2 linked regions of the Drosophila melanogaster genome follow. The protein of the gene in region 2 interacts with the protein of the main gene of each other region in a pairwise test. Each region holds a gene or a part of one and is shown on either strand. Other genes may lie near its edges.

Region 1 (3,753 bases), 810 kb from region 2:
AACTAGGCGAACCGGGAGACTACCTGCGCCACTGGCGTTTTTACTACGATCCACCAGAATTTCAGACGATCTTCGTGCGCCGAGGCACTGGGATTCACTACGGTTACTGGCGCGATGTGCCGCAGGACAAGGAAAATCTCTTAATAGCCCGCAACGACTCTGCGAAAGGCTGCCAGTTCCAATTCGTCGCTGGAAATGCCTTCGATGCTTTCCTCTACTACCTGGAGCACGATTTTGCGGCCACTCCGTTCTCATGCGGGCAGTTGGCGGGGACCAAAAAGGCGGTGGCAAAATACCTGAGTGACAATTCCCTAGAACTGGCCCAGCTGGACCGACTGCAGCGGGAGCGCAACAAGCGTGTTGTGGCCAAGACATTCCACCGAGCCGGCATTGTTGTGCCCTTTGACCAGAAGACAGAAGTGGGATACCGCCCGCTGGCTGTCAGCGATTCCGAACTCAAGAAGATGCTGGCAATGCTTGAGCGGAAGGACGTCGATAATGGAGCCGCCAAGCAGGCGGTTCTGGAGAAGCTGCAGCCGGTGGCCAACGCAGCCAACATAGCAGTTGATGAATCGGACTTTGGAAGCGCCCTGGAACTAGGCATCGATATGTTCTGCAGTGGGCACAAGGAGCTGCACATGCTTGCCTCATCGTTGCTGGTACCCGCCTATTCAATGCTTTCCCGTCCACAGTTCATAGCCATCGCCAAGGCGCACATGGAGCAACGTAGTCGGGAGGACAACCTCAGCATTTTTGATGTACTTAAGTAGTTCGATTTTTATTCCGCAACCGTATCATTTTTACAAGCATTAAAACTAGGAAGTTGAGCACAGCCAAAAGTAGTTTCACATGTACAAATAAGAGCTCTCCTTCCGCGGAGGGATGTAGCTCGAGCTGCAGGCAACGCCCGCGGCTTTAAGTACCTTGATCACTGGCTGCGCAGCTGTGGCGTCGAGGGGCAGCTTGTCGGTGTAAATAACGAAAGAGGTAACAGGCAATTCCATCTGATCCCGCCAACTGGCAACTGCAAAAAAAGGTGAACAGATGGTGAGGTGATTCAACCTTCTCCTTTTCCACTCATCACTCACCGCCTGCTGCAACTCCAGCGATAAAGTTGGGAGCCTCTAGTTCAGTGATATCCTTCTGGTTGGCACCTATGCCGCGGACAACGGCAATGTGATCCCGGTAGAGCTGGATGTCCTCGCTTTTGAACTCGACCTTTGGCTTAAGCGTCAGAGTGATCACTTTCTTGGCAAGCTTCACGTACGGCAGTAGGAGCTCCGCTACCTCGCCGCTACTGGTCAGGTCCTCGTTGATTATGGCCAGCAACTGTTTGGACGAATGACTCCAGTGCAGGGTCGAGTTATTGGCAGGAATGGCGCACACACGCTTTGCATCCTTTTCCAGCAGAGAAGAGGCGAAGTGAGTGACGTTGACGCCCTCAATGACCACCAGCATCTCGCTCTCCACAGGGGCAGCTTCCCCATCGCAATCATCATCAAACTTCAGCTGCAGCCTGCGAATCCAAGAAATTAGGACTACCTACGTAAATAACATTAGATCACGCACTTCTCCACCGGCTTAAGGTTCTCCAATTCATCCTCGTCGCAGTCGTCCCAGAAGGCACGCGACGAGGGTATATTTAGTTCTCCAAATCCTGGACAGCTCATCGTGTCTGTTTTGATTTAATAAAAAAGGTGAAACTAATATGATGAGCCTAATTCCGGTCACTATGTTTTTTTCAAGTCATCAGTGTGACCATGTGCTGAACGCCAAAATAAACGTTTTTCTATTTGAATAAATTACATTTGCAGGTAATATTTAGGAACTTTTAGCGCTTTTTCTGAACTTATTAGGGCTTGGCATGTCAATTAAAGATTTAACAATAAGCTAATTCCAAAATTATGTATTGACAATATTGTTTGGGGGTTTTGAGAATTGATGGAAGTTACGCCCACTGAGCAAGGGAGAAATCAAACTTCAATTGTTAGTTCTAGTCGAATATTAAAACAAATGTGGTTCCAGCTTATTGGTTTTGCCTGATTAAATATTTTCGACTCTTCCGTTTTTTTTTAAGTTGAAACAAAAAATTCCGCACAGGTTAATAAAAATACCAGATCAGCATCGCAGCAGAAGCAGCGCTCAAGCACGGTCATACTGAATACAAAAAATGCAAGATGCAGGTCCATATTCGAATTGGAAAACCACTTTGATCGCTAATTAGAAACAGATTAAGAACCTCACGTCGGTGAAAATATTCCGTAGGGCAGCGCGCTAGGACAGGTCTCAAATTTTTTGGTTAGCAGTGGGAGCAAGCGCGCAAACCAGCGCCATGAGAAAGCGAAGCTCACGTTGTAACTCTGACACTTTCAAGGAGGAGCAGATGGACCACAACGGTGACGACATCAGCCTGCTGCAGCGGCCGCTGCGCACCGCCCACACGGGATTCGAGGAGGCCCGTCGGGCCTATGAGGATGGCACCAGCGAGGTGAGTCTCATCTGAGTGGAGTACGTGACTCAATTGTGGCCCGCAATGGCGGAGGCTCCTGCGCCCCAGTTTGGTGGATCCCCGGATAACAATCAGATTCTCCCACAGGTGCGCCAGCTGCTCAGTCTGGAGTGCAGCCTGATCTACGAGTGCAAGGTGTGCCGCAACATGTTTCGCAGCCTGGCCAATTTCATCAGCCACAAACGCGTCTTTTGCTGCGTCAGCGCTCGTTCGGCAAATGGCAGCGGATACACAGTGAGTGGGCAGTAAAGACAACCCCATTACAAGGTCTCTAATACCATAGGATGTCAACTAATCGCTGTTAATTCTCCCCCAGGATCAGAATTCCACTATGATCATACAAACGGGTGGTGGTCCGTCCCCGCAGGACATTGAACATATGCTACGCAGCAGAAGCACGGGATGCTCGCCTGTTCCCCGCGACGTGCGTCCCTTACGAGGAGGAGGTGGCGGCGGCATAAGGGACCTGAGTGGTGTTATAGAGCGTCTGCGACGGGAAAAGGCTACATCACAGGCCAAGTGCAGCTCGCCCACTGTTCTGCAGCTGGAGTCTGTGCCCAACTCTAGCCAGGCTGTTTATCAGACCATCAAAGTGGACCACGACGACAGCATAAGGACAGAACTGGACGAGGTGCATCGCATGCTTAATCCATCTGAAACCATTGTGGGACCCGACGGCAAGGCCTTGGCAACCGTTAAGCTGGAAAACAATGCAGGCAGCGACTCCGGCGAGCAGTCCATCAGCGACGAAACGGAGCCGAGTATTTTCTGCGAGATCTGTACGACTACCTAACCGAATAGGCCTTGAATACAATTAGTGATAGCTGTGTTTCCTAATCTCGTTCACAGGCAATCTGACGTTTCAGACGCACAAAACGCTTGAGGTGCACATTCAGAAGCATCACTCATCATCGGCGTTTGTGTTTCAGTGCCCAGCCTGTTCGCTGACCTTTCTGCAGGCCGCTGCTGTTATTCGTCATTTGTCGAAGGATCACAAGTAAGTTCAACTTAACCCGACCATAGAATTTTTATATTTTATTATTATAAAATATATGATATTATTCTACTTCAAGGGGACAGGTTCCTTTTTTCTTTCACATGGTCCATTTATATCTGCTTACTGCATACTGCATTCCTTATACATATATGTATATGTCAAAAATCATATTGTTTCCAAGGAAACAATCTAATTTACTTTCTATTTATGTGAATTTTTTAAGCCCTGAATCATAAAAACAGAACAA
Region 2 (3,613 bases):
ACAATAAGCTGGCTCACCTTTTTTTTTAAGATTTCTTAGGATAGGTAAGTGCCATCTCTGATTTGAATCTAGATGCCACGGGGTGAGGGGCACATAACCTCCAGGAGCGAATAAAACGCGCTGTTGCACACGAAAAATAACAAGCTGCGTTGGTCAATTCATCGAATGTCGGTCAGGGCTGCCGCCAGGGAGAAATGGATTGGGCAATGGGCACTGGGCAATGGGAAGCAGGAGCCCGGAGGTGGGTAAGACCACCTGGGCGGAGGTCCATGCAGGGGGCGACATAAAAGTTTCACACCCAGCCATTTGGCCATCAGTGTCCAACAGAGCCGTTGGGCCGGAGTTGCTGTGTTTGAATTAAAAGAAATTAGTTTAGTTATGCCAATGCTCCCCGGGCTACGCTATTGAGTTATCGGCCAGGCAGGAGTGGGACAACTTGGTGCCGGTGACAGGAGGCAACTCGGATGGATAAATTGCAAGTTTTCCCTTACAATTTTGAGTGTGTGCTGCTTGTCCTTGCGTGCCTGGAATTTCAGAAAAAATAAACGCTTTGCGTGTTGCTCTTCTGATGTCGTTTAACCATTATGTGGCATGAATTTGCCATTTTCATTTAAATGCTGCTCTTGGCAGCGAGTCAACTCGTTGGCTTTTTAGCGACTGTTCTGCATTCATAAGCAGCAATCGTATATATCCTGCGGAATGTACTGAAATTGTTGTTGGATTTAGGTCTAAATGTATACAAAACTAGTATTCTTATTTGTTAAGCCCTGAATAAATTTAATTTTTAAATTGCATAAATTGCAGTGCAGTGAAATCATCTGTAATACCCATAGTACCAAAAACCTTATTTTTGTGAATGATTTTGTGTTGCGTACAAAACCTAGATTTCACGCTGATCATTTCCATTCCTAAGTTTTGAAAACAGCAGAGGTGCCATCACCAGTGACGAACCAGATTATGCTCATGCTGGTGCCATCGAAATTGATAGTGGAAATATGTGTGCTGAATGGGATATTTAAGCGCGCCTATCAAACACGCGCACAATAAATCTTCGTCACGGGCCCAAATTGACATTTTACAGCCAAAAACCAGAAACCAAAGCCACGCAGAGGACAAAGTAAGTTCCACTAGTCCGTGTTCCAGCTGCTTTTTTGCTCCTGCGGCTGCCGCTGTTTCGAAAGCCACTGATATTGTTGTCAACGATGATGGCCCAAGGCATCAGCCACATGTGTGGGAGCCAGAGCTCGTCCCTCCTCAAAGTGCCCTCGCACATGGTTGGCAAAGCCAAACCTTTATTGCCACAGCTCCATGGAGCAACAGCGAAAATTTAATATCTGGCTGGGGCGTGGCTCCATTGGAGCTGGTCCGTTGTTGCTGGCGATCAGAACTCATCGCATTATCCTTTGGCCTGGTGGCGGTTACTCGCTCAAAATAATTGCACACTGCACCCCCAATAAGTCTGTTCGCCCGTTTGATACAGAGAAATTTCTATTCGCATTTCCCAAACAAAAGTGGTGTACAAAAATAAAACTGCATATAAGTTTTAAAACATACGCCATACAAAATATATTAAAAAATGTCCGAAAAAATATTGTGCTTTTCCTCGTTCTGGTTTTCAGTGTCTCTGTGAAGTCATCTGTCAGTACCCTAATGCAAAAAGCATGAAACCTCAGGCCAGCTGTCAACACAACAAGCAAATTGCCGCGGAAGCATCAGTTTTGAGGCAACTAGACTTTTTTGATATGGAAAAACCCCTATCAGTAAGAGTCACTAGAACTATAGGTTTATTTTTAAAAATAATCAGCTCCTTTAACACAAAGTTAGACTTCTAAGTAGACAAACAAAATTTAACCCTCGTCTAATTTGTGTTTCTTTTGAGATTGGTTTTGATACTCAGCTTTCCATGCATTATGTCCGAATCTAAAGTCAACTTCATATTTTAGTAGATTTTTGGAACGATACTCATGTACAAATGATACAAACTGCATGAGAAGTGCACGGACTAAAAACTGTATTAATTAAGGGATCCTCCATACGCTTTATAGGTACACCAAACTAATTACAATTTAAGTAACTTTTAAATTACGTCACCAGAATTTCGAGGTCTTTAAAGCAATCAGAATCCTAGATAAGTTTGTCAAAGTTTTCGTGCTATAGTTATTCTCAAAAAAACATGTTTTTGGTGAACATATTGATTGTTTTGGCTCTATGTTTGGTATAATTAAATATTTAGTAATTTTAAATGAAATCTGATTTATTCTCCTGTATTCTAGTTGGTGTTGGTTATAGCTGATCTTCAGGAGGACCATCTAAATGAACACAATCGGTTGAGGGAGAAGCATGGAAGTCCGCCTCTGACCTTGGACGATGAACTCACAAAGGGATGCGAAGAATATGCTAAAGTATTTCGTTGGTTAATAACAATGTTACCTTTTTACACTTTTAATACCCTCGAACAGGTGCTAGCCAATAATGAAAAGTTAGAGCATTCAAGTTCTGCCGGTCAAAACTATGGTGAAAACTTGTGCATGCGGTCACAAACCCCTCTGCAATGTGTTCAAGACTGGTACGACGAAATCGCGGACTACGACTTTGAAAAGCCACAGTTTGCAATGTCAACGGGTCATTTCACCGCCCTCGTTTGGAAGAATGCGAAAAAAATGGGTATTGGGCAAGCCAAGGACAAAAAGGGTTACTACTGGGTGGTAGCAAGATATTATCCACCAGTCAATGTGAACGGGCAGTTCGAAGAAAATGTTCTTCCGCCGATCAAAGGGTAAGCAAATTAATTACATCTGTAGTTTTTTCTTTCATTTTATTTCATTGCAGGGAAGGTGATGAAAATGGTCAAGGCAATTTGAATAGATTTCAAGTTGACAATATTCCCATCATAGTCATGCTTTGGTTATGCTGGCAATTCACAAATTGAGGGTCATTATCACTTTGAAGTTTTTGTGCCGCAGTTCTTGTAAATTTGTAGTTAAGCAATTTGAAAAACCAATTACTGATATTTGAAACTACTCTGTACCCAATAATAAATTTCACTTTTTGGAAGTTTGGTGAATATGCCATTGTTAGTTATGTAAAACCATTCTATCTAGTTGCTTGCAACTTGTAGTTCACCAGGAAGATATTAAAACAGCACACGATATTTAATGATCGAAACTGGGGAGTGCTGCCTTAACACTGGGGTGTTTGGCATTTACAAAAACTATTTAAATGCATGAAATATTTTGAATTAAAAAAAAGAGAGAATGTTATAGTCGAGTTCCCCGACTATCTAATACCCGTTACTCAGCTGCTGGCAGTGAGAACGTGATATTTCATAATTTTCTGGCATATCGATAGATATTGGAGAATTTAATGGGAAGGCGTGGCTGCATGGATGAACAAACTTGTGCTTTAGAATCTGTATGCTTTATCTTAACCTTATAGCTTATATAATTCCTGAAATTTCGACGGTCATACGAACGACCAGACAGACGGACATGATCCTGATCAAGAATAAATATACTTTATACGGTCAGAAACTCTTCCTTCTACATACTTCCTTGACATACTTTTTAACGAATCTAGTGTATTCTACTTAATTCTACGAGTAACGGGTATAAAA

What was found. Proteins that work in one complex are often made in the same cells at the same time.
Region 1: the proteins of CG31482 (region 2) and CG10979 interact in a two-hybrid assay, tested with the Drosophila melanogaster proteins (one large-scale study listed by BioGRID).

The regions. Positions count from the first base shown.
Region 1 is NT_033777.3:5,792,553-5,796,305, forward strand, and holds the start of CG10979 (uncharacterized protein), read left to right. Parts: upstream 1-2,152; 5' UTR 2,153-2,332; coding exon 2,333-2,488; intron 2,489-2,596; coding exon 2,597-2,743; intron 2,744-2,825; coding exon 2,826-3,288; intron 3,289-3,358; coding exon 3,359-3,506; intron 3,507-3,753. Other genes in the region: Hpf1 (histone PARylation factor 1), read left to right, coding at 1-770; PSMG1 (proteasome assembly chaperone 1), read right to left, coding at 846-1,024, 1,089-1,516, 1,570-1,670.
Region 2 is NT_033777.3:6,599,137-6,602,749, forward strand, and holds CG31482 (uncharacterized protein), read left to right. Parts: upstream 1-2,105; 5' UTR 2,106-2,173; coding exon 2,174-2,215; intron 2,216-2,273; coding exon 2,274-2,402; intron 2,403-2,459; coding exon 2,460-2,776; intron 2,777-2,829; coding exon 2,830-2,929; 3' UTR 2,930-3,065; downstream 3,066-3,613.